Arabidopsis thaliana: one gene and its partners. The protein of the gene in region 1 interacts with the protein of each later gene in a pairwise test. Each region holds a gene or a part of one and is shown in the gene's direction. Other genes may lie near its edges. The genes, in order: AGL28, AGL86, AGL36 and AGL38.

The links.
Region 2: the proteins of AGL28 (region 1) and AGL86 interact in a two-hybrid assay, tested with the Arabidopsis thaliana proteins (one large-scale study listed by BioGRID).
Region 3: the proteins of AGL28 (region 1) and AGL36 interact in a two-hybrid assay, tested with the Arabidopsis thaliana proteins (one large-scale study listed by BioGRID).
Region 4: the proteins of AGL28 (region 1) and AGL38 interact in a two-hybrid assay, tested with the Arabidopsis thaliana proteins (one large-scale study listed by BioGRID).

The regions. Positions count from the first base shown.
Region 1 is NC_003070.9:190,018-198,552, reverse strand, and holds AGL28 (AGAMOUS-like 28), read left to right. Parts: upstream 1-4,882; 5' UTR 4,883-4,890; coding exon 4,891-5,202; intron 5,203-5,481; coding exon 5,482-5,913; 3' UTR 5,914-5,919; downstream 5,920-8,535. Other genes in the region: AT1G01540 (Protein kinase superfamily protein), read right to left, coding at 170-286, 370-579, 649-778, 882-1,052, 1,131-1,253, 1,334-1,438, 2,011-2,573; ASG4 (Homeodomain-like superfamily protein), read right to left, coding at 6,494-6,586, 6,664-6,773, 6,861-6,974, 7,078-7,212, 7,295-7,415, 7,555-7,612, 7,725-7,957. UniProt on the Arabidopsis thaliana protein: Probable transcription factor that may function as a floral promoter operating upstream of known floral activators in the autonomous pathway.
Region 2 is NC_003070.9:11,315,370-11,323,716, reverse strand, and holds AGL86 (AGAMOUS-like 86), read left to right. Parts: upstream 1-4,169; coding exon 4,170-5,189; downstream 5,190-8,347. Other genes in the region: AGL92 (AGAMOUS-like 92), read left to right, coding at 1-798, 889-1,025; AT1G31620 (uncharacterized protein), read right to left, coding at 5,823-5,900, 6,165-6,261, 6,455-6,548, 6,710-6,776. UniProt on the Arabidopsis thaliana protein: Probable transcription factor.
Region 3 is NC_003076.8:9,338,789-9,347,411, forward strand, and holds AGL36 (AGAMOUS-like 36), read left to right. Parts: upstream 1-4,996; coding exon 4,997-6,097; 3' UTR 6,098-6,223; downstream 6,224-8,623. UniProt on the Arabidopsis thaliana protein: Probable transcription factor.
Region 4 is NC_003070.9:24,251,075-24,259,336, forward strand, and holds AGL38 (AGAMOUS-like 38), read left to right. Parts: upstream 1-3,854; coding exon 3,855-4,691; 3' UTR 4,692-4,783; downstream 4,784-8,262. Other genes in the region: AT1G65295 (ubiquitin carboxyl-terminal hydrolase), read left to right, coding at 493-576, 717-980; XTH17 (xyloglucan endotransglucosylase/hydrolase 17), read left to right, coding at 6,122-6,469, 6,584-6,777, 6,873-7,245. UniProt on the Arabidopsis thaliana protein: Probable transcription factor involved in the development of gametophytes and seeds.

The DNA.
Region 1 (8,535 bases):
GTGATCGTTGACAAAAGGTTACAAAGAAGAAGAATGTTAATTTCGTAAGGCCAAGACTCGAAGAGCCAAAGAATGAAAATATTATGTAAGTGAGACAATAATATACCGGAAAAAAAAATGAAATATAATGGTCGTGTGGAAATCACTTAACCCAAGTGACTCTCTTTTTTCATCTTTGCTTTTGCTGATGATGCCGTGAACCGCTCTCACCACTTTCACTACCGGCAGCAACCACAGCTGTCTCTTGTCTCTCGCGGCTTCCATGGTCCCTTGTTGTTCGGCGTTCCTGCAAAAATATTATCCCAGCTTTAGACATGTTTCAAACTCTTAAAGAAATGTAAAAACGTAAAGGCAAATTGTTTTGTATACATCGCGATAGAGTAGATCTTCGGCTTCAAGCATATGTATGATATGACCCATTTTAGGTCTCTTGTTCGCATCAGGATCCACACAACGCAAAGCTACAAGCAACACTCGTTTAAGAGCCTTTGAGGATGGTGGTTCGGGTATTTTCGGATCAACAACTTCTTCTGATCTTCGGTTTCCCACCATTGATTTAAGCCAATCCACTAGATTTGTCTACAGCCACGACACATAGTAAGACCATTTACAAAAACATAGAGAGGATTGAATATGCTTATCAAATACCTCTCCTTGAGGCCGACTATAATCAACCGGGTTTCTTCCAGTGATTATCTCCATGATTAGTATTCCGAAGCTATAGATATCACTCTTCTCGTTTAACATTCCGGTGCAAGCGTATTCTGGTGCTACATAACTAAACAAATCAACCCACAAAGTAAAAGTTATTTCCTAATATTCACATTCCTAAAGACTGCCTTGCAGATTGCAGGAGAGAGTTAATGAGTTTAATAGTTTACCCGAAAGTTCCCATCACACGAGTAGTCACATAACTGCTCTCAGACCCCAAGAGCTTAGCAAGTCCAAAATCCGAAACCTTAGCATTCCATTGGCGATCAAGTAAGATATTGCTTGATTTAATATCCCGATGAACAACTTTTGGCTCAAGACCCTCGTGTAGATACGCCAATCTACAGATATAACAAAGGTTTACACACAACAATAGCTTATAAACATAGAGGACAACTCAAAAGCTATTCCAGACTTACCCTTTGGCCATCCCCAGTATAATATTCATACGTATATCCCAAGTTAGCGGGCTGACATCGCCAACATCACCGTGAATCCATTGCTCCAAATTACCATTGTCGACAAAGTCATACACGAGCATCCTATAGTAACGAACCCAGCATTAGGTCACGACATCGCTTTTGTAACACCGGAAAAGAGATACGAGCAGCGGTATATATACCTGTATGCACCTTCCACGCAATACCCTAAAAGCCTAACAAGATTCTTGTGTCGTACTCGCCCAATGACTTCCACTTCTACTTTGAATTCCTTCTCTGCTTGACCCCTGGCAATCAAAGACACACCAACTAGAAATGTTACAGATCACATAGATCAAAATCCAGAAGCATAGTGCTATTATTAGTAAAGACGTTACCCATAAAAACCACATGAGACCAATGACATAATCTATACATACATAGAATTCAATAATAACAACAACCTTCAGGACCACAACTCACAGGCAATGCAGTTAAATAAGAGAAGGACTCTGATCACGATCACTCTTAACCATCTACATAAATATCCACAAGCATTTACTTAATGGATCTAAGCACATTACATGACGAGGTAGAGAAACAGAGACAAACTTCAATACCAAGCAATACAACAAATAAAATTCTTTGATTACGCAAATTGCAAAACCCCCAACTGGTAATTCCTAAAACCCCAATCTAGAAACGAGTAAAGGAATCAAATCGGAAATTTGAGAATACCTAAATCCCTTATCTAGAAGTTGAGTAAAGGATGAATATTTAGAATGAAACCAATACAAAATCAAAGAATACCTAAAACTCAAATTGAGAAACAGAGTAAAAGGACCAATCTTTAGAATCAAAATTGAAGATTTGGAAGTACCTATTGTTAAGCAAGTTCTTGACGGCGACTTTGGTTCCATCAGTTAAAATGCCACGATACACAATCCCGTAACCACCTTCTCCGATTACATTCTCTTCACAAAGCCCATTCGTGGCCGCTTCAAGCTCTCTCAGAGTATACCATCGGCCCCATCCAAGATGCGACACCTCCGGCCCACAATTCCCGCTACCGGAATACGACGCCGTTTCACTTGCACTCGCTGTTCCTCTACTCTCACCACTCGACACTCGATCTGAAAACACCACTCGATGCTCGATCTTCCCGATATCGACCTGGATCTCCGCCGGAACAGACTGATTCTGCGCCGGAACGATCTCTTTAATCTCCTTTGAAATCGGCGGTGTAGCGATGGCGGCGGAGGCGAAATCGGCTCTCGGCTTTCGATTTTTCCGGCGAGAAGTTAAGCAGAGGGAGAGAAGAAAGAGTGCGATGACAATTAGAGATCCAAGTAAGATTCCGATCACGACCCATAGCCGGAGACCAAAAATCGATGTCGGTTTCGAAAGCTCTGTATTAAGGAAAGCAGCGTCGTACACCGACATCGTACTTTAACTTTTAGCTTAGATTCCGTTACAGATTCTTCCGGTTTCTTCGCATTCTTCGCCGGAAACACACAAAACTTTCCGGCCAAAATCTGGGCTTTGTCACAGCATCGAGTGTTGAATCGAGGAAGAACAAAACAAATAAAAAGATTAAATTGATAAAATAAAAAAAACGATAACGAATTTAAAGAGAAAGGCTTTGGAGTGATCTGTGTTGATGTAATTGAATGAGCTGTCTTTTTGAGTTCCTGTCTGAGTGTAATTGCATGTGTGGTGACGGTGAGAGAAGGTTACCCGAAATGTCTATTTTACCCTTTTATGGAAAGTGGAAGATAGTAGAGTCTTTTATATAGTTTTGAGGAGTTTTTTGGTAATAAATCGATGTCGATAGCCGTTGGGGTGGTATGATAAGGTACGGTTCAGTGCAATTAACCAATCTGTGGATTACACATTGGTTAGTTTTTCGTTCTTGTTTTGACTATAATTGAACCTTGACGTTTGATTATTTAATTGCAAATTTTATATGGATATAAACATACTCATGGAATAATTATTGAGTTTACTTTATGAGAAACTAATCACTTTTGTTATGGGAACATGAGTGCACCAAAAAATCATTTGTTTGCTTCTGATACACATTATTATTGGTTTGTTCATAAAAAATATTTGTTATATATATAGGAAGAACATTTTTTTTTGTTTATGTCACATTAACACACAAATCGGATTTCTCATATCATATATGCAGTAAGTAGATAAAAAGACTGAAACTGCAAGTCAAGGTGATGAAGAGCCTGATTATCCTGAAAGTCAATGTTATGAGTAATGTTGTATTGTTACAGTTTTAATGGTGGATAAAAAAATTGTATCTTTGACACGATGGATTGTGTAGATCATTCGTTGAAACTTCGGAGGTCAAATGTATTACTATTTCATAATATTTGTGTCTTCAAAAAGTTTGGTTGGCTCTTAAAAGTAGAGCAATTAATGAGAGAATAATATTTAGTGTGGCCACGTATAATCTAGGTTTCCTCCTAAAAAGGGTTTAGGTGGGGCTAAAAGAGAAAACCCATTATTGCTCCAAACAAGTAAATTTTGTAGTATGCCAATAAGTCAATGATCAGCGGCGATGGTTGGTTTAGACTTTAGACTTTAGAGTCGTTTGGAAGTGCAAGCTTATGATATGTGGTATTTGGGCTTTTTTAAAAGTAGATTCTGAGCTAATAAATGTTGTCTTTTGCATTTGGATATTTCATTACCTGGGCTAGAATTTGTTTTTGTACAAACTCTAGCTTATAGAATCTTACTTAGTTTTCCCTAATCAGTTTTAGTTTGGTTCCTTGTTGGGCTTAAGACTTGTAATCTATATGCTAGAATCTTTTACATACTTGACTATTGAATACCATTACCGACCAAAAAAAGGAACCCAATCAGATTTGATTCCCACCGATAAATTGTAACAAGAAGGAAAAAGATATAACAAGAAACATGAGAAGTGTATACATTTTTAAAAATTCGTTTTTCAGGAGAGGTATATAGGTTATAGATTATCAATATATCATCATCATGTATAACAAGCAATTAGAGGCAGAGAAACATAGCCCATTAGGTAACGATCATGGGCTATATTAATCACGGCCCAAAACAAATTGTGTAAAAGTATACTATATTCAGAGATGATATAACAAATTGTGTATCACATATTAAATCTAATTTAATTATCACAACTTTTTTTTTGAAAAGTCAGCGATCAATTAAAATATCAAAACAACTATTTACTTAAATAAAATCTTGGAAAGTCGGACATAAAATTTCAATCATGTCATTTATCAACTTTCAATCATATTATTTTGTCAATTTGCTCTATAAAAACAAAAGTAAGTTGGACATAATATTTCATATATACACTATATGAATTTTATATAAAAAATTTGAACACTTAAAATAAATATAAAAGATCAAAAAGGATATTGATTATAGAAAAATAGTGGAAAATAAACACATGGAAAATATTTTTTAAGAAAATTGTGGATATCCTTCCCATATTTTAAAAAATTGACAGGCTGTAAACTTTAAAAAATGATAATGTTGGAGATAAAATAGAATATTGTATACCTTTTATTGACGAAATTTGTAAACCAATATATACTCCTAGAGTGGTAATTCATAATTTTGTTTCTTATAAATCACTATAGAAAAAAATATTTTCTTTCAATGCTCAAAACATATTTTGTAAAATTTAGTCTATAAATACAAATACCTATTATCTCTAATATAATCAACTCGCTTTTCTTTTTCTGTTCAAAACATCTCGAAAATGGCGAGAAAGAATCTTGGTCGTAGAAAAATAGAGTTGGTAAAAATGACCAACGAATCAAACCTTCAAGTTACGTTTTCAAAAAGAAGATCTGGTCTTTTCAAAAAAGGCAGTGAACTTTGCACCTTATGTGACGCGGAAATTGCGATAATCGTGTTTTCACCCTCGGGAAAAGCATACTCTTTTGGTCATCCAAATGTTAACAAGTTACTTGACCACTCTTTAGGGCGTGTTATAAGACACAACAACACAAACTTTGCTGAAAGCCGCACAAAGCTCCGTATTCAAATGCTCAATGAGTCTTTAACTGAGGTAAGTTTTAAGTTTTGGCATTATCTAATCTTTATTTCTTCTCTCTTTTATTTTTCAATTTAGATAAAAAATTATTATATAAGTGTTTCACAATTTGTTTTTGATTTGTAAAAGAAATGGTAAACCTCCTTTGCATATTTATTTCCTCAACAAAGTAAATTAAGAATGAAAATTTTGGTGGGTTCAATTTTTGTTTAAGTCATAGTCATGGATTCACGGATTTTCTTTACACATTCATTATTCATGAAATTAATTGTTTAAAATACAATTTTATCTTAGGTGATGGCTGAAAAAGAAAAAGAACAAGAGACCAAGCAGTCAATAGTCCAAAATGAAAGAGAGAACAAGGACGCTGAGAAGTGGTGGAGGAACTCTCCAACAGAACTCAACTTAGCTCAATCAACTTCCATGAAATGTGATCTTGAAGCTTTGAAGAAGGAAGTTGATGAAAAAGTCGCTCAACTTCATCATAGAAACCTAAACTTCTATGTTGGAAGTTCTAGCAATGTTGCTGCTCCAGCAGCTGTTAGTGGTGGTAATATCTCCACAAACCATGGTTTCTTTGATCAAAACGGAAACTCTACTTCTGCTCCAACACTGCCGTTTGGATTTAATGTTATGAATCGCACACCAGCTGGGTACAACAGTTACCAACTCCAAAACCAGGAGGTTAAACAAGTCCATCCTCAGTATTGGGCTCGTTACTATTAGTCTATCTCTCTCGTTGTGTGACTTTTTAAGTCTCCAATAGTTTGTTCTGCTTTTTGTTTTGTTTTTGTTTGTTGTTGTTGTTGTTGTCGGGCTTTTAATTAAGTCTCGAGTCAACTAGTTTCTTGTTTCTTTTCGTTATACTTTGTCTTGTAGCTTTATATCATTTTCTTGTGGAATATGAGTAAGCTATATGAAGTTTCATATTATGTCATTAGTCCATTCCGTATAAAAACCTAAGCAACAACTGAATATTACAAAAAAGCTAGTGACTTTCTACACAGGCTTTATCTGAAGTAATTTTCAAAACTAGTTATGTCATTAGTCCATTCCGTATAAAAACCTAAGCAACAACTGAATATTACAAAAAAGCTAGTGACTTTCTACACAGGCTTTATCTGTCTTCTAAGACGTTCTAAACTATTGAGACTTATATGTACAACCGGTTCATTCATTCATATCCCATGAGACTACCATTAGAGACTTCTCTCTATCGTTTAGTTCTAACTGGCGTTGTAAGATGATATCAACTTCCGCTGTAATAAACAGAGAAAATTTGTTTACTCTTCAATATTCTCAAGAGTCAAAATGTAACAAAGAGTCGACTAGCTCTTACTTGTTCATCAAACTCGGGACTCGTCAGGTTTACAGATAAATTTTTCATCAGTAAGAGAACCTGTTGAACAAAAAACCGTGTAAACGTTAGTTTTCAAATCAAGACATGTTCATGTGCAGAGTTATTGGTTTTCATACCGTCTCAAGATTTATTGGATCCATTTCCTTTAATCTCTTGACATGACCTGTTGTTTTAGGATCAAACACACTTCCTATAAAATTGTAAACTTCAGCGAAATTTGGCGCCACTGAATTGAAAAACCAACATCAAACAAACAAACTCATAATCAGTATATGAATATCACAAAGTCAGGAATCTCAAGCAAAATTGTTACCTCTATGTGGCTTTCCACAACTTTCTTGGTCATTTGTCTCTGTAACGATTCTAGTCCTCTGCTTATCTCTACTACTACTAGTGCTGCAACAGTTCTCTGAGACACCAAATTCCTCTACAATCACAAATTCATTACCCCACATTATTAACAACTCAAACAAGCAATATCTTCAGATTATTACATTAGTCCACACAGCAAACTTAAGCACATATTTTACCTTTGATAACAGAACTTGGTATACTAACATCGCAATGCACTAATCCATGCTTACGGGTGGTGCTAATCACCGGATGTGAATTAGTGTTGTATAAGTAGTCATGTTGAAATAATGCGTTTGAAGAAGAAAGAGTAACTGCATCAAAAACATAACCATGAGAAAATGAGATAAAGTAACAAAAGCGGAAGTAGAAAGATAAAAGGTTTAAGGTTGCCACATTTAGGAGCTTTTTGTGGATATGGGTGATTGGCTTTCCTCTTTGGTCGAGGAGGTGGGAGATGTTCTTTAGTCCCATTCTTCTGAACTTTGAGAAAGTACTTCTGTGCGTGGCTTCGTATCTACAAAACCAATATTCTAGTTACTATCCAACATACATAGAACTTATATCTCCAATTCCACCCCAAAGAACAGAGTTCATAAAATTACTTATATGTAACTTCAGACAAAAGTATGGAATGCATATGTTTGATTGATTACCTGTATCACTGTTTTTGATCCAACAAAGGCCTTTATTTTCTTCCAATCCCGGTCAAATCTGCAATCAAATAGACATGATCATATCAGAAGAAGAAGAACAAATCTCAAAGATTCTATATATCATTAATCAGATAAATGAAGGCAGAGAAGTGAAATCCGTGTCAACATACAGATGAAGGGCTTCAAGGAACTTGTCGTGTTCTTGCTCCGTCCAGTTCTCTCTAGATTTGGTGATAGTGTAAGGCTTTCTAACCTTCTTTGTTGGATCCTCAAAAAACGACATCGTCCTATTGCTCCGTATGGAAACCGGTATCGTTGTTGCCGTGTGGGGAAGAGTATTGAAACCCGGTAGACTCATTTTCATAGGCAAACAATGAGCTTGGCTAGGGTTTACAGTCACCATAAAACTCGACAACACACACAAAGTTCCCTTTTGGTTTGAAACAGAGTTTGTGACTTGAGAGACTTGTGTGAGAGTGGTGGTGGTATAAGCGGGAGAGGGAGACAAGGTTAGAAGTGTAATCTCATTCGAAAAATGGATTTAAGCCGAACACGTGTAAGGAGCCGGTTGCTCTGGTTCAGAGCGTGGGACTAACAACTACAAGCCATGTGGACATTCTCCTAACACTCATGCCACGTACAAATTTAAATCCACGGCACATAAATTGCCACGTGGAATACGATCGTAAGCCAGCAATCTTATTTACGAGATAGCTGCCTAGCTGGGGCCTGGTTCGACTAAAAATGAAGGTTACTTTCTTTTGTAGTTTAGCTCAAATTTTAGTTATGTACGATGATGTGTTTTATGTACGATGATCTCTAAAACACAAACGCAGCATATACAAATACAATACACACACCTATTTCAAACTACTAACCAAACACACAATGCTTTCGAGTTCATCACGACCAGACCCAGAAAACAACAACAAACGTCCCTCTAAGACAAGCTCATCGGATGTTTCTGCAAACCGAGAATAA
Region 2 (8,347 bases), about 11 Mb from region 1:
TTACAGAATATGGTGAGTCTTCTTCTTCTGTTCCTCCTCTGTTTGATGTTGCGGGTGCCAATCCTCCTGTTGTTGCAGATCAAGCTGCGGTAACTGTTCCTCCTTTGTTTGCTGTTGCGGGTGCCAATCTTCCTGTTGTTGCTGATCAAGCTGCGGTAACTGTTCCTCCTCTGTTTGCTGTTGCGGGTGCCAATCTTCCTGTTGTTGCAGATCAAGCTGCGGTTAATGTTCCTACTGGATTTCATAACATGAATGTGAACCAGAATCAGTATGAGCCGGTTCAGCCCTATGTCCCTACTGGTTTTAGTGATCATATTCAATATCAGAATATGAACTTCAATCAAAACCAACAAGAGCCGGTTCATTACCAGGCTCTTGCTGTTGCGGGTGCCGGTCTTCCTATGACTCAGAATCAGTATGAGCCCGTTCACTACCAGAGTCTTGCTGTCGCGGGTGGCGGTCTTCCTATGAGTCAGTTGCAGTATGAGCCGGTTCAGCCTTATATCCCTACTGTTTTTAGTGATAATGTTCAATATCAGCATATGAATTTGTATCAAAATCAACAAGAGCCGGTTCACTACCAAGCTCTTGGTGTTGCAGGTGCCGGTCTTCCTATGAATCAGAATCAGTATGAGCCGGTTCAGCCCTATGTCCCTACTGGTTTTAGTGATCATTTTCAGTTTGAGAATATGAATTTGAATCAAAATCAACAGGAGCCGGTTCAATACCAAGCTCCTGTTGATTTTAATCATCAGATTCAACAAGGAAACTATGATATGAATTTGAACCAGAATATGAGTTTGGATCCAAATCAGTATCCGTTTCAAAATGATCCATTCATGAATATGTTGACAGAATATCCTTATGAATAAGCGGGTTATGTTGGAGAGCATGCACACATCCCTTTCATGGACGGAAACTACTACAACTACCACCAGCCACCAACCGTTGGTCTTACTTCCACCGGTCACATGCCTTCCACCACCACCACCACCACCAACAACAACAACAACAACAATGTGTGATGTGTTTCAGTAGTGTGCATTTTGTGTTTTGTTTGTTTTAAAAGACCAGTATTTAATTATGCTTTTCCTTTTCAATTAGTTGTTGTAAGAGTTGAAGGTTTTACCTTTAAGTCAGTTCTATTTCAATGAAGTCATTTCTGTTTGGTCACAAATTATTTTTTACGAGCTTTTTGTTCTTAAAATGCATAACTAAATAGATCTGCCAAAATCAGATAGGATTTTGTTTCCAAAAAACATCAATACTTTTCAAGCCTTCATTATGGTTAAATACTTATATGATTAAATATTTTGAAGAGAGTTCAGGACGGAAGTTGTATATATAGGAGGAGAAGTACCATTGAGTATATATACGAGGAGAACCATTGTTGAAATTGGTCGCAGTGAATCACTCTTGAACCGAAAAGAAGCGCTTAGAAATCAGATCAAATCCAAACACTCTAATCTTCCTCACTCGTTTCTTAATGCCACAAAGATCCAATATGGCAATGTAAACATAAACAGAACTAATTACATCTTTCTTAGTTTATGTTCTGAAACATGTCATACTTTACAATACAATTATTTGTCGATATTAAATCCTTCTTCTTTGTTTTCAGGACATTGGTCATGCATGGGCTTCTTGAAGCATATTCCCGAACACTTGCGAATCTTGCTTTCTGGATTCTTTCAAGAATGGGAGAAATCTTGAAAGAGTTATAACTCCCTTGCACCACCGAGTAGCATCCTTAGCTCATGTGACCCTAAAGAGCACCCCAAAGGCCTTTGCTTTGGTCCCGTGTAAGGCCTCTCCGATGGGACAGAGACTGGTTTTCTATTTTTTGTTTGCAGTTGCTAAGGCAGGTAATTCAGTGAATACAACTCCAAGTAGAAGCAGTAGACTGTGGTGTTTAAGTAAAGTGCCTTCTGATACTTCTCCTTGATTTAGAGGGTCTTCCTAGTTCGATGCGTGCCACCTGAAGCTTCTCCTTTAAAAACCGTTTTAAAGACTGTATTAAGATTGAATATGGTTAAATTGATTTGGCTCTTCTGAAAATTTTAAATAAAAAGCTGAGATATTAAGAAAATAAGGTATATTTTAGGATATGCATATATTATGGGCCTAAGGTAATTTGAAATTAACACAAGCCTTAATGTATCTCTATCTGTACCTATCACCTACTAAGTATTCATTAAGATTTTTTTTTAGAAAAATGGCTTCCTAGCGTTCTATTTCAACTATAGGCTTCACTTCGTGTATCATCCCAACACTGACGAGGTTTTTTGGGTTGGATTCAAGTGTGTACTTCAACTAAGAACATATTTTTGGTGACCAGTTATGCTTACTACAACGTTCAGATAAGATCGACTATACCTTGAATTGTTTTAGTATGTGTAAATTAAATACATAGATTAAACGGATCGTGATTACCAAAAAAAGTTCTTATGTATATATATGGACCTTATTTAAGATATCTATAGTTAAACTTTTGAACATGACCTATAACTATAAGTAGCTTAAGTCGCCCCTAACTAAACATATAAATAAACATGAAAATTAGTGTTTTATGGCAGATGAAAGTTATTTATTATCTGAGCCAAAAATATACGGTGAGCTTGAAATAAAATTTAGCATTTAAAGAGAATGGAAATTAAACTACTACTGGATTGAATTATTTACCATTCTCTCATGTAATATCTTCTACTCTATAGTATTTTTATAACTATTTGAAAACATTTAATCAAAAATCAATAAATATGCTATTTATTTTAGAGAAATTTCTACATTTTGTAAATGTAATTGATAAGAAGAGAACCAGTCAAACAAAGTCTAATTAACGATGTGCATTCTTGTTTTTCTTATTTTTTGGTTATTGTTAGACCTCCATTTTTTTTGGATTCTCTCTCATTATAATCATACCACACAAAAAAAGTATGAGAGAAATAAGAGAAAGGTTCTTAAATAAGAACTTTTGGTATATTAACTTGAACTTTGGGTATATTACACTTGTCTTTTTTTAATTGGTTCATTTTTTGCTTTTAAACCAAAAATTAATATATAATTAAACTATATTTAAATATTAATACTTTAAAGTTTAGATATTTCTTTGGGTATGTAAAAACAACTGGAAGTTTTCTATACGTAGTCTAAAATCTTTAATTTCCCTATTTACAGCTTATAATTAGCTGGCAATGCAATGAAATATTCTAACCCAATAAAAGAAAAAGTATTCTCCAAAAGGTATAATATATGCATGATTTAACAAATTATCTCTAAACTAATTTATTACTGAGCCAAAAGAGGAAAGAAATCCATCTATTAATGTATAAAACAGTTATTTTATCCAAATTTCCTTTTAATTAGAATCAACTTAATGATTAAAAAAAATCAGGTGGACCTGCAGGCCATGACAAATGTTCTTTTAATATATTTATTAAAAAAGTTCATATAACCAAATCTGAGATTTAAAAAAATATATTTTTCTCTAATACTCTACTATTATATATTTTCATTTGTTATTATTGTAAGTATCAAATATTTTTACTAAATTAATTAATATAAATTTTAATGATATTTTATTATCTTATTATATTGGTTTACAAACTTCTTGGTATGTTCTCCTTTAATGTATATAGGTAGTTTAAAGATTTTCTTAGAAATAGAACACATATTTCGTGAGATTCATGTTACATTGTTTTCAAAAACTTTCGTGCTTTCTAAATATTTCGTAAGACTCACGTTATATTGTTTTCATTTTTTTTCTATAAATAAACAACTCTTTTGAGCTTGTATATATTCATGATTTTACATGTAAATTGAAGATGGAGTACTCTATTTAAAAAGAAGAAAAAAAAACACTTCAAACTATTACTAAATTTCATAGTTTATAAACAAAACTTTAAATTACTCTTAAAAGAAAAGTGAGAGTAATATAGGAAGATAAACTATTCTTAGTAAAAAGAAAAGAAAATCTATTCTTAGACATAGCTTTAATTAGTGGCCTCGTCAATTAATGAGACAGTAAACACAAAACAAATCTAATGAGTCCAGCAACGTGAAAAGCCACGTACTGTGTAAAAGCACAATTTTCATTTCTATATAAACAAGACAGTCTTGGGCCAAGAAAGTAAACAAAACACACACCAAAGAAAAGAAAAACAAAGATAATGAGGTCGAAAATTAAGTTATCACTCATAGCTAATAAGACCTCAAGGAGAACCACATTCAGGAAGAGGAAGGGAGGGATAACGAACAAACTCCATGAGCTAACAACTCTCTGCGGCGTCAAAGCATGTGCGGTAATCTCCAGTCCGTACGAGAATCCAGTGGTGTGGCCGTCAACCGAAGGTGTTCAAGAGGCGGTTTCCATGTTTATGGAGAGGCCGGCGACAGAACAATCCAAGCTGATGATGAGTCATGAGACCTACTTGCAGGACAAAATTACCAAAGAAACAAAGAAACTGGAGAGTCTACGTCGTGAAAACCGAGAATCTCAGCTTAGGCAATTTATGTTTGATTGTGTTGAAGGTAAGATGAGTGAGCATCAGTATGGTGCAAGGGACCTTCAAGATTTAAGTCTTTATATTGATCACTATATCAATCAGCTTAATTCAAGTGTCATGCTCCTTACAAACAATGGTGCGTCTTCTTCTTCCTTTCCTCCTCCGCTTCATACTTCAGTTGCGGGTGCGGGTGCGGGTGCGGGTGCTGCTCCTCTTGTTGTTGCGGGTGCGGGTGCGGCTCCTCTTGCTGTTGCGGGGGCGGGTGCGAGTCCTCTTGCTGTTGCGGGTGTGGGTGCGGCTCCTCTTGCTGTTGCGGGTGCCGGTCCTCCTATGGCTCAGAATCAGTATGAGCCGATTCAGCCCTATATCCCTACTGCTTTTAGTGATAATATTCAATACCAAGCTCCTGTGGATTTTAATCATCAGATCCAACATGGAATCTATGATAATCTCAGTTTGGATCCAAATCATCAGTATCCGTTTCAAGATGATCCATTCATGGAGATGTTGATGGAATATCCTTATGAACAAGTGGGTTATGCTGCAGAGCATGCACACATCCCTTTCATGAACGGAAACTACTACAACTACCACCAACCACCAACCGTTGGTCTTACTACCACCGGTCACATGCCTTCCAACAACGCCACCACCACCACCACCACCAACACCACCGTTGTGTGATGTGTTTCAGTAGTTTGCATTTGTGTTTTGTCCATTTCAAAAGACCAATCTCTAATAATGTCTTTTCTTTTCAGTTAATTGTTGTAAGAGTTGAAGGTTTTACCTTTAAGTCAGTTATATTTTTATGTATTGGGTAATGTATTTCTGCGCCGTAGAGCCGGATATTTCAATTATATTTGAAGAAGTTTGGTCATAAATTTGTTTTTACTTTGTTTTTTGTTCTTAAAATACATAACTAAATAGATCTGCTAAAATCAAATATATTTTGTTTCATAGAAAATCTTACTTTGGATATATTATTCGCAAAAACATCAATACTCTGTATATCTCTTTCTCAATCCATAATTTATTTACTTCCCACACCTACCTATATAGCGAGCAAATGAACACACTAAAGAAGTAAAAACATGAACATAAATAATGAACACACGTCTCAGCAAACCCAAAAGATTAACAATACAAACTGTAGCTTGTTTAGTGTTGAAAATTTGAAAAATCAACATGATAAAATAATGAAACTAAAATAAAAGGCAAGTTTTCAGTTATCTCTTACATTAGGATCCTACGAATCAAGTTAAATTAATTCTAGGATCCTTAAAAAAGCCAACACTCTGGACGTGTGGTTATGTGCGATCAGAACAAGAGATTCACGGGAGCCGGAGGTTCTTTCGAATCCATAAGAGCGCCTAAACTCTTCACTGTCTCCAAATCCTAGGAGCTTTAACTCTTCTTATGTTTTTTGTTTCAACATTGTAGTAGAAAATGTAGAAGGGTCGAAAATTGAGTGACAACCTCTTTGGGGCAATAATGATCTCACCAGCCTTGTTGGTGTCTGGAAATGACATTTTAGCACACTCAACATCATCCCAAAAAGAGGAGGGAAACACACATGTTTGCTTTGACCATTCATGTTTCTCGACGTCTTCTAGTATCCATAAATCGAAACTATGGAAACCGATCATAATGGTCGCTCACAATGGAAGCAAGCTTCCCTTTGTATTCAATGAATACTGCTTCACTTCCCCATTGCACAAAACCCTTAAGTGCATTGATAAAACTCAGTTTCTCAGTTCTAAAATGAAAACAAACCAAAACTGTCTCTTTAGTTTTGGTTAAGAAAGCAGCTTAGTAGAGAAAACCGTTGATGAATACACTCGCTTGATGACCCGCCCTATAAGGTAAAGGGGTATCTTTAATGTGTATCCATACTTCACCATCTCCCAATGTTCATAACTTGTTCTCCAGATGACCACTAGATATCATACCTTTTTCTCTTCAAGGATAATGCTTTGTGTTGATCATCAATAGGATCGTATCCCACGATCAAAGCAGTGGTAGCAGGTAATTTAACCGCGATTGCTTCGAGGACATAGAGAAGAAGTAATCAATGAACCCTCGGCTTCGGATGATGGATTGCCACATCTTTGACACGAATCAAAACTTCATAAGAGACTTGGCAGGCAATCTAGCTAGTACAACCATATTTAGATCAAGAGGGAGCGAATCTAAGTCTAACCTACTTGTGTTTGTGTCTTTCTCATCTTCCTCCCCGTTATCGTTATTACAATCTCGCTCGTTACATTTCATGGCGCCTCCTAAACAAACCCTAGATTTGATTCGGCAAATGACTTTAGTTTTTGTGGCTCTTCATTACAGACTTCGCAGGCAATCTAGATACTGTAGCGATATCGGACCTAACTTACTTCGGCTGCTACAAAATCTGTACGTCCTTGCGTTTCATGGAGATTCCTGACGAAGCCCTAGGCCTAGCTATTCCTTTCTCAAATTTCTTTTTTTTTTCTTTTAATATATTAATCAGCCCATGTGAATATCAAATGGGCCTAATGAGGCCCATAACTCAAGTTAGAACTGTCAAATGGTCATCTAACCATGGGCTAAACCCAATCCATAATGTTCGTAACTAAAACGGGTCATATGGTCTAAAGACCAATTTTGTCCACGGGTATAATGGGCTAACCCATACGGTCTATGGTTGGCCCATCAATTTTCTCAACACATCAGTTTTCTTCTCTTCTCTCTCACACGTCGACTTTGTTCTCTCTCGGCGACGAAGCTCTCTCTCTCTCTCTCTCTCGCTTCGACCTCTCTTTCGACTCCTACTCCGGTTAGTTCTATTAGAATATGAATCCGTTGATTAGAATAAGTTCTCTCTGAAATATGCGTTCATATGTTAGTCTCATCGATTTTGTTCTCTAAGTCCTGATGCAATTTCATCGCTTTGTTCTTTGCTATTCCTTAATTGTGATTCTGCATATGCTTTCTTTGATTTCAGCTTGTGGGTTTGTCCAAATTTCACTTATTTGCTATTCTTTGTTATTCTCTCTCTCCCTTCCTTTGATGCCAACCATGTGTTTGATGAAATGCCTCACAGAATATGTAGAGTTTGGTTTTGGTAGAGCTTGTAATTAATTGTGTAGAGCTTGGTGTTTATGTATGGAGCTAAGTGTGTGTTCGCTAATGTTTATGAACATTTCTTATAGCTAATTTCCACAATTAAGTAATCGTTTCTCACCACAATCCGTCACTTGTTTGACCAAACGTTGGAAATCAATTAAGTGATGACTAATTCAATAATACTCTTATTGTTGTGGGAATGAAAAAGACTAACACGAAATTGTTGCTGCCACTACTACTGAAGTCCAATAAGTTAGATCACTTTCAAGATTCTGAGAATCATACATCATGTGGATAACTAAAAACATTCCTTTAAACTTGTTTGAATTTGTCTGTGAACATACAAGATAGGGAAAATAAGTTATTCATGCAAGATACATTTATTTAACTACAGTTTTGAGGTTTTTCCATTTATGATACAACAAAAGTTCTAAGCTAATTTTGTTTTTGCTTGAATCTGTTTTGTTTGTAGGCTCCAGCTGAGCTTGAGAAGAGAAAGCACAAGCTCAAACGTCTTGTTCAGTCTCCCAATTCCTTTTTCATGGTAATGTAAATTTGAAACCTTTCTCCTTCTTTTGAACCCTTTAGGAACAAAGTCTCTGTGGTTAGAATCTATGTAACTACTCGACTTTGTGAATTGTATGTAAGTTTTGAGTCTGTGGGAGACGTGGGAGGTCATCTTCTTACTCTAGTTCACCAAGTCATCTTTTTTTTTGTGTGGGTTTCTCTGTTAAATCATTCTC
Region 3 (8,623 bases), on another chromosome or scaffold:
TTTGATTAGCCACACTCTTCACTAATAAGTACTTTTTTTTTTGCATCTTCCATTTCATAAACCTTTCTATCAGTCACTCCTTTTTTTTTATGCAAGTCTATGTCTCAATTATAGGGATCACACTCTCCTTTCTCCAATCTAATCTTTCTTTTTCTTTCCTTTAATTATCTTCCAGTATGATGCATATGCGACACGTGTTAGTTTATTATTTGATGCTTTGTTTTCAATTTCAGTTTATTAACTTTAATGAATTCATACATATAATAATTTACTTTCTTGTGTTTCTCTGCCAACCACATACTGTATAACTTGTGTTTAAGAGTGGAAAAGCATTCGACCAATGGTTGCACACGAAAGAGAAACATAATTTGCAAGTCGTTTCCATTTCAAGAAAATTTAGTTTGTAACTATATTTTGAAGATTTTATTTGGCTCATGTAGCTATATGGACAAGTTAATTATGCAGTCTTTTATCGAGTCCACGTATAGAATCCGAATGTAGCCGGGATGAGAAGAAATACCCTATTTTCTTTACATATATGTGTGTATAGTTTGGATCTCTTTGACTCTTTGTGACATAAAAATTTTAACACGTCATATATGTTTTAAAATCAATATTTACATAATGCATTTTAAATAGGTTGAACGGCCCTCTCAAAAAATTTCTTCATACAAATTTTTGATCTTATAACAAATTTTTAGGTGCAAAATAACATAAGTTGGTCCCTTTATTACTCTATTGATTTATTTTTGACTAAACATTAGATCCATTTTCATATTTAAATTCCAATAGATGCTCTAAAAGGCTAGATATTTTGTATATCTAAAACCTAGCCTATGCTAATCACAACAAGCTTTAACAGGTAAATAGAGCCCAACAATTAGCTTTACATAGGCCCAATTGGCTTTTCAAATGATCCGATTAGTTTGCTATGTTACATAAAATTACTTTATCATGTGACAAAAAGCTTACATTAATCTTGTAATAAAACAATAGTAATTTAACACAAAAGAAAGAAATCTAACGAGCACGTCAAGATAAAAAAAATGACTTAAAACTAGGTTGCATGGAATTAGAAATTAATGAGTTTGCCGAGGCGATTTTTCTGATTTTTCTAGAAAGTGTATATTTGTTGGAAAGATCAAAAAAAAAAAAAAGATCAAAATATAAAACACCATACTTTAAACCATATATTAAAAATATTGTTTTAACAAAAAAATCAAACACATAATAGTACATTGTATAATATATCTATAATAACTCAATTAATACAAACATCATAACTAGGGGTGTCAAAATGGGTAATCAAACTCAACCCAACTCATAATCAAATGAGTTTAGGGTTAAATGAGTTATGGGTTGACTCAACCCATTTAACAAAATGGGTTAATCCATTTAAGTAATAATTTAATTAATTATTATTATAAAACACTATTAAATAATTATCATTTTTAATAATTATTAATTCATTATCATCAAACTTAGGATATTTACGGATTCTATTTTTTAAAGGTTTACATTTTTGACGGGAAAATTACAGGTTAACGTTTTTGGCGGGAAAATCACGGGTTTACGTTTTTTTGGCGAGAAAATTATGGGATTACGTTTCTGCGGGAAAATCACGGGTTTACGTTTTTGGCGGGAAAATCACGGGTTTACGTTTTTTGGCAGAAAATTACAGGTTTACGTTTTTGGCGGGAAAATTACGAGTTTACGTTTTTGGCGGGAAAATTACGGGTTTACGTTTTTGGCGAGAAAATTACGGGTTTTACGTTTTTGACGGGAAAATCACGGGTTTTCATTTTTGGCGGGAAAATCACAGGTTTACGTTTTTGGTGGGAAAATCACGGGTTTATGTTTTTGGTGGGAAAATCACGGGTTTACGTTTTTGGCGGGAAAATCACGGATTTACGTTTTTGTCGGGAAAATTACGGATTTCTGTTTTTTGGTGGATAAATTACGAGTTTACGTCTTCTCAATTTCATCTCTTGTATATTTAAGAAATTTGGAAAAATATTGATTTTCTTAAATTGGTTTAGATGTGTTGGTTAAACTTAAATTGATATTGGTTTAGAGATTTTATTTGGTTTAATTCAATTTTACAAAATTTGATGGGTTAATTGGGTAAACCATTGAAACCATTAACCATTACAACCCAACTCATTTTACTCATCAAACCAATTGACCCAATAACTCATTTGACCCATCAACTCATTTGAGTCAAAAATTTCAACTAATTAGGAATCATGGGTTGAGTTGAGTTGAGTTGACCCATGAATTCTGACCCATTTTGACACCCCTAATCATAACGCTCGAAGTTAAAAACATAGACCATGTCTTCATTCTCATTTTATCAACTCTATAACGTTGCTTATAAAGTCATAATAGCCTAATAATCATCATATTAAAGTAAAGAATTTTAATTATATTTCTTATAATATAATAGTCTTCTAGGTCACTATTCACAATCTTAATTATTTTAGAACAAATAATTGTTTGTTAATAAGTTAAGAAAACACCAAAAATTCATATATGTACTTCTAAATTATTTATTTAATACATCTAAACTTGGGTTCGCAAAAATCGCAACTCTTAAAAAACAGAATTCGTTCTTTCAAATAGTTTTCAATTTGACATTTACACAAATCTCTTTTCAAGCGGATAACAAACCTCTACCAAAACTTTTCTACAATCTAAGATATTATATTATTGAAATTGTATGCTTTTATCTTGATAATTAATAAAAGCATTCCAAAATTCTGAAATGTGGGTTCCAAAGCTATGATTGGATCATATTTTCTTACCAATTCTCTCATGTCTACATAAAGCTATTTATTTTAGGGATATTAATAAGATCAAAAATAGGGTAATGCCAGCTAAATTACTCTTCATTATTAGCTGGTAAAATTTATTTCTAAAAGTGCAATGAAAAATATATAATATCGGGTCAATGCCCCAAAAGATATAATATCCACATGATTTTATAAATTATAATTTTACAAATAAAAAAAAAGACAAAAATCATATTTATGTATTAAACTCTTGATTTTACCCAAATTATGCATATATTTTCTAAATAAAAATAATTTTCATAAATAATTTTTTATATGTCATTATTAATAAATAAATACATGTAGTCATATTAATGTATTAAACTCTTGATTTTACCCTTATATGTAGTCCATTTTTAAAAATACTCTTTCTCTTGAGCAAAACAAACAAATTACCCACATCTAATGAGAAACATGTAATTTATGAACTGAAATTTTCCCGCCGAATTTATTTTTTCCCTGACAAAAAAAAATTCTACCAAAATATTTTTTTTTCCGCCAAATTTTTTTCCCGCCATTTTTTTTTCTCTGTAACAAATGTTTTTCCAGCTAAAAACATGCATTTAAAAATCTTTGTAAAGGTTTTTAAAAGCTTTGTAAATTTGTTAAAAACCCTTGTAAATCATTTTAAAACCTATTAAAATCTTTATAAAAATTTTAAATATATATGTAAATACTTTAAAAACCCGTTTTAAAACCTTTTGTTTTACATTTTAAAACCTTTTACAATAATTTTAAAAGATTTACAAGAGTGTTTAAAAGATTTACAAGGATTTTAAAAACATTTGTAAATGTTGTAAAAATCCTTGTTAAATCCTTTAAAACCCTTGAAAACTATTTAAAAACCATATAAAAATCTTTTAAAAACCCTTAATAATTTTTGAACCATTTTAAACTCTTATGAACCCCTTACAAAATGTTTTAAAAACCCTTGTAAACCATTAAAAATCTTTTAAAATCTCATGTAAACCCTTTAATAATTTTTGAACCATTTTAAAGTTCTAGAAAATTATTTTAAAAATCTTTGTTAATCTTTAAAAACACATGTAAATCTTTTAAAACCCTTTTCAAATCTTTTAAAATCACTTGTAAATCTTTTAAAACCCTATAAAAATCTTTTAAAATCCTTTGTAAATCTTTTTAAAACCTTTTACACTTTATAAAAATCTCTTAAAATCCCTTATAAATATTTTAAAACCCTTTTACACATTTTAAAAATCTATTAAAATCCATTGTAAATCTATTTCCTGCGAAATTTGTTTTTTGCGGGAAAAATCTTTTTTAAAACAAATATTATGGCAGAAAATGTTTTTTTGAAATTTTTTGGCGGAAAATTTTTTTCAGAATATTATAGGCGGGAAAAATCAATATTTCATTTTTTTACCTAAAACATATTTTAAATAGGGGTAAATAGTCATTAAAAATTAAAAAAGGGTATAAATGAAAATAACAAATAAGAAAGGGCAATACTGAAAAGGGATTGTGTTGAAAGGGCATTCATACCAATTATTCAAAGTTTTTGGCGTTTCTGTGAGATGTACTTTGCATATTTTCCAAGTTGTTTGCCCATTCTAAAAATTTATTTGTATGATTCAGAGTACATCTTTAAATTACTGTAGATAACAAACTTTCTGAAATTTACTTTAGATAACAAACTTTAGAGTAATTTCTAGCTTACCACAATTCTATATACATTGACAATATATTACTGTATTTTAAAAGTACAATCACTTAAAACTATTGCAAAACTTCATATTTTAAGAACAAAGTAAGCTAGAAATTATTCTTAGTAAAAAGAAACAATGAGAGTAAGAGAAATTAATTCGCCAAAATAAAAACAAAACTTAGAAATACAAAATATTATATTACATGCCCCCTCGTATTACATGGATAGATTTTTTTCTTTTTTTTGTCATCAGATATTATTTAGGATCAGACGTACCAAACTTTGGATAAGAAAAAATATTTTTATATAGATAATAATGAATTACCTGGTCAATTAATTGATAAGAGATTTCCTGGATGTTATTTAGAATTAATTAGTCCACCAAAGTGATAAGAATCCTAGTGTCTATAGAATCACCTTTCTTTGCTATATAAACATCCTTTGAGCAAACAAATTAAACAAACCACACAAAACAAAAAAAAAAAACAAATTGATGGGGATGAAGAAGGTGAAGCTATCTTTGATAGCTAATGAAAGATCAAGGAAAACATCCTTCATAAAGAGGAAAGACGGGATTTTTAAGAAACTCCACGAGTTGTCAACTCTGTGTGGTGTCCAAGCTTGTGCTCTCATCTACAGTCCATTCATACCGGTTCCAGAGTCATGGCCGTCAAGGGAAGGTGCTAAAAAGGTGGCTTCAAGGTTTCTGGAGATGCCGCCGACAGCCCGAACCAAGAAGATGATGGATCAAGAGACTTACCTTATGGAGAGGATTACCAAAGCAAAAGAGCAACTAAAGAACCTGGCTGCTGAGAACCGAGAGTTACAGGTTAGACGATTTATGTTTGATTGTGTTGAAGGCAAAATGTCCCAGTATCATTATGATGCAAAAGACCTTCAAGATTTGCAATCTTGTATAAATCTATATCTCGATCAGCTTAACGGAAGGATCGAGTCCATTAAAGAAAATGGTGAGTCGTTGTTGTCTTCCGTCTCTCCTTTTCCTACTAGAATTGGTGTTGACGAAATTGGTGATGAGTCATTTTCCGACTCTCCTATTCATGCTACAACTGGGGTTGTAGATACTCTTAATGCTACCAATCCTCATGTTCTTACGGGCGATATGACTCCTTTTCTTGATGCGGACGCAACTGCGGTAACTGCTTCCAGTAGATTTTTTGATCATATTCCATATGAAAATATGAATATGAGTCAAAATCTGCATGAACCGTTTCAACACCTTGTTCCTACTAACGTTTGTGATTTTTTTCAAAATCAGAATATGAATCAGGTTCAATACCAGGCTCCTAATAATCTGTTTAATCAGATTCAACGAGAATTCTACAACATAAATTTGAATCTGAATTTGAATCTGAATTCGAATCAGTATCTGAATCAACAACAATCATTCATGAATCCGATGGTGGAACAACATATGAATCATGTTGGAGGGCGTGAAAGCATTCCTTTCGTGGACGGAAACTGCTACAACTACCATCAACTACCATCCAATCAACTACCAGCCGTTGATCATGCTTCCACCAGTTACATGCCTTCCACCACCGGTGTCTATGATCCTTACATCAACAATAATCTCTAATCACAAAAGAGGGAGAAGAACTAGTCTAAGTGTTCAATTGTTTGTATTTGTGTTTTCTTCATTTCGAAAGACAAAAACTAATGTTGTTTATTAATAATGGTTAAAGGATCTCTTTTTAACTTAATTATGTATTTTGATTATTAAGTAATGTTTTGCCCCCAAAAAAAGATTATTAAGTAATGTATTTGCTCACCGTAGTGTGGGAAACTTTAATTGTAGAATTTTATTTCGAAAATTTAAGATGTGACTGGTACAATATTTAGACGGAAATTTTCAATTGAATTCTTTTAGGACCCATACATAGAGAATAATTGTTTTCCCCAGCAATTTAAAGTAAGAACTATTATTCTTTGAATCAATTATCGATTTGCCATTTTTTGGGATGGTATCTGTGGATTTTGTCCTTTTCTGAATAGTTTGTAGATTTTGCCTTTTTCACACTACGAAAATATGATTTAACATGTGTTTTATTCGTTATGTTTTGGTTTAGTCGGTTGTGCTTGTTCTTAGGATTTAATATTTTGTATAAACTACGTATTTTTACCAAAAAAATCGGAAATACATACTTTTTTTAGTGTTAGAAAATGGCATATCCATAAGATTTTAGTAAAAATTACAATTTCAAAAAAATTCTATGAAAAATGGCAAAAGCAACAATAATCTCTTATTCTTTTCGAAAAAAATTATTTGATAACAAAAAAAAAAGAACTACTCTTATTCAATGTTAAAAAAATCGTTAGGCGCTAGTTAGGCTTTCGATAGAAGCCTTGAGCCTATATCGATCAGTGCCTAGGTCAATTTTTTAAACATTGTTCCCATTCTTTTGGGCTCAAAAAAATTAGGTAGAAAATTTGTTCTTCCAAATTTTGCACCAGTTAGACTCTAAGGGGGTGTTATTGGTTCCTAATTTTCATGACTTTCCATGACTTTATTTTGTGAAGAAAAATGTAGAAAGAAAAAAAGTGTGGGTAGTTTTTAGTCTTTCCATTATAACAAAAATGTATAACTATATAAGATAATACTAGAGAGCTGTGTAAATCACCTAAATACTGTTTTAGGAAAAAAATATCTTTTGATAAGAAAAAACTTGCAAAAAATACATCTACACACCATCACAGCATTGATTACAGTATATATGTGTATGTGATAATATTCAGCATAAAATCTAACTGTTTTCTTAATGTCAAAACAAATATATCATTAGTCTTTTATATAGCCTGCTCCTGCATATTGTGAAGATTTAGTTTTTCTGGGTTTTCATTACATGTTTGTTTGCTTGTGCAAATATTAATCATCTCGTGTTATTTTAAATTATGTTAAAAAATCGAGGGTAATAATTTGATAAATTTTTGTTTGTATTTTGTTATAAAATTATTAGTAAATTTAATTAGGTTTAGTTGCAAATAGTGCTATGATTTATGGTCTCATTATTTTTATTTTTTCATTTTTTTTGTCCACAAGATCATTTTCATAAAAATGAAAAGCCCATTGAGTTATATAGATGATGAAAAAAGCCCAAACCACCAGCGTTTACAACTTCAATTTAAATTGAAGTCTATTTATCCTACTAAAATTTAAAGATAAGGACGAGATTAAAAAAGTGTTACGTGCGGTATACGTGTCCACACGCGAGAAGGAGATGAGATGACACAAACGTAGCTAGCCAAATCCACGATCAGCGCAGCTCCGCCGCCAGACTTCAGATCCACCACCGCTCCTCTTCTACAGCGCTGCCCGTTGCTAAAGTCGAGAGAACCCCATCGAATCCATCTTGAAGTAGATCGAGAAAAAACAAATCTTCATAATCTCAATCTGCTCCTATAGTAGGAAGCTTCGCCTTTGGCCGTAATAGGCCTATATCCATGGATAAACATGTGGAGATATTACTCTCGTATATATATAAGAAGAGTTGAGCTGACGGTGAACAAAGAGGATCTAACCAATAGCTGCGGCGATTTGAGTTTATGTATGTAGAAAGAAGAGAACAAAACAGATCCGATCTTAGTTGGAATTTTATTGTCCGAAACAAATACAGAGATGAACAACAACAAGTCACTAAACCTAAGCTATAGATCTAAGATATGATTTGGAAGAGACAAAACAAAGAAATCTATTTTACAATCTGATCAATGTCATAAAAAGAAGCTTTCCCTCTCTAAAAGATATGGCAGAGGTAAGGGAGAGGAGCGTGATTTAAGTACTCATTAAAAAACTCGGTGAGTGGGCTAATCGATCCTACACTCACCCTAAAGAGATTAGCCAAGTGATTAAGGCCCAAAACACCTCATAATATCCAAAAATAATAATTTGGTAAAGTTAACTATCACACCTTTCCTCTGACCACTTGGGCCGAAACTCAAATGGCTACGTTAAATTAAGAACTAATTATATAAATTTGGTACAACTCAAGATTTTATTTTTACAGTATGTAAACTCTAAGCATGCGGCACTTGGTTATTTGGGTGTAGTAATAATTATATAAATTAATACTCGATAGATTAAAATCTTTGATCCCTAATAAGTGTT
Region 4 (8,262 bases), about 24 Mb from region 1:
AAAGACTATATACTACATGTACGACACACTTTTAAATTCTTGTCATTGACCAAATAAGCTCTTATGTATGGGTTATAAATTTTGCTGCCTGGTATCTTCTCCACTTCACTATTCTAAATGCTAATTGAAAAAAACACTCAACGTTATTGAAATTATATTTGTCACCAAAAGAATCAGATCCTTCGAAAAGAAGAAGAAGAATCTGTTTTATTACAATTGGTATGGTTTTCTCTATCAGTTGATTCGATATTGGTGTGGTAATGAAGTGGAGAAATTAAAGAATAGTAAAATTAAAGACCCCACTTATTATTTCTTCCCTCAATAAAAAAAACAAAAACATTTCTCTACAAAAATCATAAATGTTATAACCAAAATAATTGAAAAAAGTAGCTCGAGAGAGAAGTAGCATTTGCTACTTTACCCAAAATCCCTAACCACATAATAAACCAAACCCAACAAAGAAAATAAAATTTCAAACCAAAAAAAAAAAAAATGAGAACTTTAGAAGAATCGAAGATCTCTATTGTCTTCTTGTTGCTTCTTCTCTTCTCAATCTTCATCAGTTCCAGTCACCAGGTTAGTTTCTTTACTTAGATCCCTCTAAAGTTCTCTTCTTTCACATCTGGGTATTTCTAATTTTGTTAAAAATCAAACCTTTAACATAACCTGAATTCAAAGTTTTGAGCTTTATGGGTTTTGATTGGAATTTTGTTTAGGCAAATGAGGTATTACCAGCTGAAGGAGATAATGAGATGATGATGGTGCCATTGGGGGAGGAGAAGTTTATGGTAATGAATGAAACAAGAAGGAAACTTGGAAGTTTTCAGATATGTTCAGTTTGTACTTGTTGTGGTGGTGCTAAAGGTCTTTGCTTGCCTTCTCCTTGTTGCTATGCTATTAACTGCAATATCCCTAATAGACCCTTTGGTTACTGTTCTTTCACTCCCAAAACTTGCAATTGCTTTGGTTGCCATATCTGAGATCTTCTACTTCATTGTAATTTGTAAGTTTCTTATTCTTCTCTGTTCTTAGTTTCTGCTCAGTTCATGTTTTGATGTTTGGTTATGAATGTTTTGATTCCAGGGGAGAGAAACAAGTGAATCTAAATCTTGATTCATCTTCAAGTGTGAAAGGGAGGAAAAAAAGAAGAATATCTGTTCTTGGTTTGAGTCTTCTACTTATTTTTTGTCTATAATTTATTTTTCAGTCTTCATTAAATTTCATTACCTACTATCTCAGCAACATCATCATCCTCATTAATTAATTGTCTTTTTGCATTTGCCATTTTTTCATAATTTTCTAGGGTTTTTTTTGTTTTGAGAATCTTGTTCACACTTCAAGCAAGATTTGTTTCTTCTTCTCTGTTCAATCAATTCTCTCTATCTGTCTTTCTCTCTCTCTTTTTTTTTTTTTTTCATTCTCTTGTTTACTTCATCATTTTGTTTCTTATGTGTTTTAAGAAAGTTAAAAGTTAGAATTTAGCATATTTTGGAAAAGAGTCATTGTTTGGTTAAGCTGGCAATTGGAAGAGTATTTAATATGATGATGATGATGGTATTGATGGTGATGGTGGTGATAGTGAAGCTGTTAAAGTTAAGTCTTTGTAATGAGTGACATGTTAAGAAAATGGATCAAGTTTAGTGCCTTATTCTGATCTGATAAGATCTTTAAGTGTTTTAGTTTAAAATAGAGGAAAAAGAGTAAAAAAGCAATTATTCATCTTCAAGTGCAGAGACTAGACAATATCTTTGAATATGTTTATTTATCTGACACTGTTATTATTGTAAGAGATGTTTTATGTCAAATGTTTGTTCCAACTCTCTCTATTGCGTTAGCGTAAGTAACCTGCAAGATCTGTAAATTAATTACTAATTGTTATTTATTATTCACACATGGGACATCATAAAGTTGTCTTGGTGATAAATTTAGTCAATATGTGTGTGTGGGTTAAGAGTGTTGACTATACCAGTTTCCCCGTGATTGATTGGCTTTTATTAAATCGGACAATTTGCATTTATATTCACAGGTCATGTTTATTAAACTCTACATTGCTGTCTAATGTCTATAGTACACCAAGTCTATTGGTGATTGAAATGTCGGAGAACGGTATAGTTTTTCTGTTCTTACAATAAAAAGGTAGATTAAGAACACTGATTAACTCAATGTAACCCATACACTTACACGTCGGGTCAATCTTGAGCGGTGATCTTTTGGGTTTACCTCTAACCCCGGACTGGTTAAACACTTTTCTCACCTCACCACATCAAAGCCATAATCAGGGCCCAAATTTGAGTGCCTACAGCAAAAAGATTTTGGCCCAATAACAAAAAACTGTTTTTTAAAACAATTACAAAATTTTCGTCTAAATTAGATTCAAAACTGTATAGTAAAATGTTTGGGACTAACCACTAAACTACAGTCACATTTTTGAAAATGATGACTCTAAAACAAGTTATAATTATTTGCTGCGTAATACCCTTGCTTCATGGGATTACGTGGAGAAGAAGAGTAAGTATCAATCAATTTATTGCTAGAGATTTGCAAAAGGGGGAATCCGTGTGCAGAGGTGTCTAGATGAAGCCATGAGTCTACAGCGGAGTTTGAATTTGCGGTGGATGAGTTACGGTGGAGATGACATTTTCCAAACATTACAAGCCTTAACACGTGTACCTACTGAGATTTTGATAGAACTTGAAATTGTTTCCCAAATAAACCTCTTATTCGGAAGTTAGGTTTTGGACTCAAAATGGATGGGATGCATCATGAGGTATGAGATATGTTTCCCAATGTAGTCTCCGGCGATGAGATTCTTTATCACCATTTTTATTTAACGTTAATACTTAAATCTTTGTAAGACAGAAAAAGAATAAGATGTTAGTCAAGATTAGAATAACGAGACCTAATTTGTGAAATTTTCCGTAGCTTTTTGTGGATAATAGTTTGTTTAGTAAAACTGATCCGAATTAATGTGAACTCGTAAGACTCCTCCATCTCAATGGAGCGGCTAATTAGAACAACTACTAAATTGTGACAAATCTAAGGTTGTCTCACATAATTCAAGAGTTTAAAATATGGTATAGTCTTAGATATAGATATCTTATACCAATATTCATAATTTGCTAAAGCTAACTAGACATTCCTAGATAATTTACCGCCAAGAAAACTAATTAATTGGATATGTTTTTCTTTTCTCTATAATTTTTGTATATTTAATTAATGTAAATATACAAAATTATATCAAATATATTATTTCCTTATATGTTTCATTTTAATCATTTTTTATTAAAATGAATAATTGGACACCTAGATAGCTAGGCCAAAACAATTTTTGACATTCCATTGACTTATTTACCCAAAATGGAAAGTGTGGGTGATTCTGGCTGTTTAGATGCTTAGACATAATCTTACTTTCTATCCAACTAATTATTACCTGTAACTGTAAGTTTCAATTTTAGGCATTTTATATTAATTATATTAAAATAAAAATAATAACAAATAGAAAAATGTATAGAGAAGAAAATATCTTAAATTACCTTTGAAATATATATTTTCCTTTAAATGGACTTTCTATATAAAAAATAAATCACATTACATATATGATACAATTTTCCCCCTAAATGTCTGGTTTTATGCCCCCCAAAAGGTAAAATATCTATATGGGCTGTCTATAAAGATAAATGATTATCACTTTACCATCAATCACATGCCAACACGTAAGGGTGAAAGTAATACCATATCCTGAAAATAAAAATTGAAAATAGTCCAGCAAAGCAATAAGAAACACATTTTATCTAGTATATAAACAATCGTCCTCATGCTAACAAAGCAAAACACATATAACAAAAACAATAGATATGAAGAGAAAGATGAAGTTATCGTTAATAGAAAACAGTGTATCGAGGAAAACAACATTCACCAAAAGGAAGAAAGGGATGACGAAGAAACTAACCGAGCTAGTCACTCTATGTGGTGTTGAAGCATGTGCGGTCGTCTATAGTCCGTTCAACTCGATCCCGGAGGCTTGGCCGTCAAGGGAAGGCGTTGAAGACGTGGTGTCGAAATTTATGGAGTTGTCGGTGTTGGACCGGACCAAGAAGATGGTGGATCAAGAGACTTTTATAAGTCAAAGGATCGCCAAAGAAAAAGAGCAGCTGCAGAAGCTACGTGATGAGAACCATAATTCTCAGATTCGGGAGTTAATGTTTGGTTGTCTCAAAGGGGAGACGAATGTGTATAATCTTGATGGAAGGGATCTTCAAGATTTGAGTTTATATATTGATAAGTATCTTAATGGTCTTACTCGCAGGATTGAGATCCTTATTGAGAACGGTGAGTCTTCTTCATCTTTACCTCTTCCTATTGTTGCGAATGCAGCTGCACCAGTCGGATTTGATGGTCCTATGTTTCAATATCATAATCAAAATCAGCAAAAGCCGGTTCAATTCCAATATCAGGCTCTTTATGATTTTTATGATCAGATTCCAAAGAAAATTCATGGTTTTAATATGAATATGAATAAGGATTCGAATCAAAGTATGGTTTTGGATTTGAATCAAAATCTTAATGATGGAGAGGACGAGGGCATTCCTTGCATGGACAACAACAACTACCACCCCGAAATCGATTGTCTCGCTACCGTCACCACTGCCCCCACTGATGTTTGTGCTCCTAACATCACCAATGATCTCTAGTCTAAGGGATGTATTTCGAGTGAAGTGTTTGATCGTTTGCATTTGTGTTTTCTCCATTTTATAAGACAAAACTTATATGTGATGTCTTTTTTATTATTATTAATTGTTGGACAATTCTTGCGTCCACACTTATCTTATTTACCCTTTCTTAAGTTCCTTATTAAACTTTACATTTTTTTTAACACCATCAAAAACTTTCTCTTTAAGTTGTTTATTACACTTTACATTTATTTTACACCATCAAAAACTAAGGTCACTAAATAAAAAAAACTATGAAGCCTCATTTTCCCATAGGAGCAATGTGAGACATAGACAAATTGAGTAAACAATTACATCACTTGGTAAACAATTTTTTTAATATTTAATTAGTATTGGTTGTTATTGATTTAAATTTTATATCACTTTCTAAATAATTTAAAATCGTATATTTGTATCAAGTGATGCAAATGGATTTAGATTTGTATCAATTTTAGTGAACTGATGCCACATAAACTAATACGACATCGATTATTGCAATTGATGTTAAACTATAATTCTTGTATCGATTGTAAACAAGTGATTCAAATTAATAGCATTCAATTTTTTTCATGCAACTACTTTTTTGTTTGTAGTATTTGTTGGATAGAACGTAATGTTATGGCTTAACATTTAAACGGCCAGAACTATCCACACTCTCCATTTTGGACAGATCAAGCAATGGAAGGTCAACATTGTTTTGGCTTAACCATCTAGGAGCCCTATTTATTTGTTTTTAATTACATTTTAAGAAAAATGACTAAAAGAAAAAATACAATGAATTAATATATTTAGGATAATACAGTATTCAAATATTTACATTAATTTAATATTTAAAACAGTATAAAGAAAAAGAAACATATCTAATTAGTTTTATAGGTGCTTAAACATATACGAATTCAGTAGTTCTTAGCAAATTTTAACTATTGAACTTTGTGTTCAAAATAACCTTCCTATGATGTCAAATACTGAAACTATTTTAGAACTCTTGTGAGTTATCTTAGCACCACATTTTATCACTTATAACTCTTTTTTTATTATTTTTACCAATAGAAAGTTTATAACCATGTTTTTATACCAATTGAATTTCTTATATTTTTCAAATAATTGTAATACCAAAAGATATTCTTAGAGTAATGTACTTTACAAATTATAAAAGTTGAAAATAGCGATATATGGGCTCCATCTAATGATCTCAATGCGGGACCAGCATGTGATATACGAATGTCTATATACATTATTTTCTCTGTTTTGTAACAATAAACGAGTAATGAAATTATATTTTATTGGCTTCAATTTGTAACAACCAACAAGAGGTCGAATGAGCCAACTAGAATACAGCCCACGATCAATAATCAAACCTATGAAACTTCCTTCTCTCTTTCTTTTAACATTTCCAAACACTATATATACTAATGTCACTTACCTCGATTGTCCATCAAACAATACATTTGAGATATCAATACTCCTGTGAGAACAAAATGAAGCTTTCTTGTGGTACAAGCTTTGCGTTCTTACTTCTGTTTCTTCTTGCGGCACAATCTGTGCATGTCTATGCGGGTAGCTTCCACAAAGACGTTCAGATACATTGGGGTGATGGCCGCGGAAAGATTCACGACAGAGATGGAAAACTTCTTTCTCTCTCGCTCGACAAATCCTCTGGATCCGGTTTTCAGTCTAACCAGGAGTTTCTCTATGGCAAAGCCGAGGTTCAAATGAAACTTGTTCCTGGTAATTCAGCTGGAACAGTGACAACATTCTATGTAAGTTACATACAATTTTCAAACCGTTTTTTGTCATCTTTTGCTATTCCTATAGTACATATATTTAGGCCTACATTAATTGAGTATGTTTGTGTTTATGATGACTTTGTGTAGCTAAAATCTCCGGGAACTACGTGGGATGAGATCGATTTCGAGTTCTTGGGAAACATAAGTGGTCATCCATATACTCTCCATACTAATGTTTACACAAAAGGCACAGGAGACAAAGAACAACAATTTCATCTATGGTTCGACCCAACCGTTAACTTTCACACTTATTGCATCACATGGAATCCTCAAAGGATTATGTAAGCGTAACCTTTGATACTTTGTATAATCTTATATGTTTTGAGGCTATGCGCTCATGAACTTACGTTCTCTTCTGTTTTTGCCCCTCTTACAGTTTTACGGTTGATGGAATTCCTATTAGAGAGTTCAAGAACCCCGAGGCGATTGGAGTCCCGTTCCCAACTAGACAACCAATGAGACTCTACGCGAGTCTTTGGGAAGCCGAGCATTGGGCAACAAGAGGAGGATTAGAGAAAACAGATTGGTCAAAAGCTCCTTTTACTGCTTTTTATAGAAACTACAATGTCGATGGATGTGTATGGGCTAATGGAAAATCATCTTGTTCCGCGAATTCCCCATGGTTCACTCAAAAACTCGATTCGAACGGCCAGACAAGAATGAAAGGTGTGCAAAGTAAATACATGATCTACAACTATTGCACCGATAAAAGAAGGTTTCCTCGAGGAGTTCCTGCCGAGTGCACTTAAATTCTTGATTCTTTGATACATGAATATGTTACTTGGCATTGCCTTTGTAACTCAATCAAGTTTTTATTTATTTTTATCATTTATTTGTTGCTCATATATACAGTATGTGGTGTTTGTGTAAGATGTTTTAAGATTGAAGTAATAAAAATAAATTATGGAAAAAAGCTTTCATTTGTTAACGTAATTAAATTTAACTGGCCGGCTTCACTAGACTTTTTAAAAAGTTAAAAACATAGGTAGAGGAGTTCATTAATTCTACAATAATGCTTTGGAAGAACATAAATCATAGGCTTACTAATATGAAGAACTGATCTATCTGATATGAAGGTACTTTAATACTCTCCCCAGTAAGAACACTAAATTCTTTCATGTACTTGCACTGATTTACTAGTTTTTTGGTAAACAATATATGTTCGATTGTATCTAAAATTGATACATTGTTCTGGTGATCAATATACATTGTATTCTCAATTTCTCATCTTCCAGTTATAATAACAATACTATATGGTTCTTGGTACATAATCTTTTACTTAACAAAAATAATTATAATATATGAGTTCGGAGAATTTGCTTTACCTGAGTTCTCGAGAGTGGTTATTAAGACGCTGCACACAGAGTATGCACACCCCAACCCCAACTTGCAGTATTCACTAACAGTATCACCTTGAGTCAAAAATAAAAAATACATACAACTTGCATCAAAAATAAAATCTTGCTCTATTTTGTAATAAATAACAATAATACAGCATAATAGAATGAAATCAATTTACCTTCTGTTTTGGGAATGACATGATGATATCCCACAGAACATGGCCCTGGACCGACTTTGCATCCAGTCATTGATTCACAATAACTCCTGATATAGACATCAGACGACAGACTTTATATTCAAGTTGAGCTTGTTCGGACTACTTGAATTTGTGCCATGAAAAGACTCATTATGATTTTACAGTCTTGCCTTCCATTTTTTAACTGATTTACCTGTTTGATGATAAAATGTATGTAGAGGAAAACCTT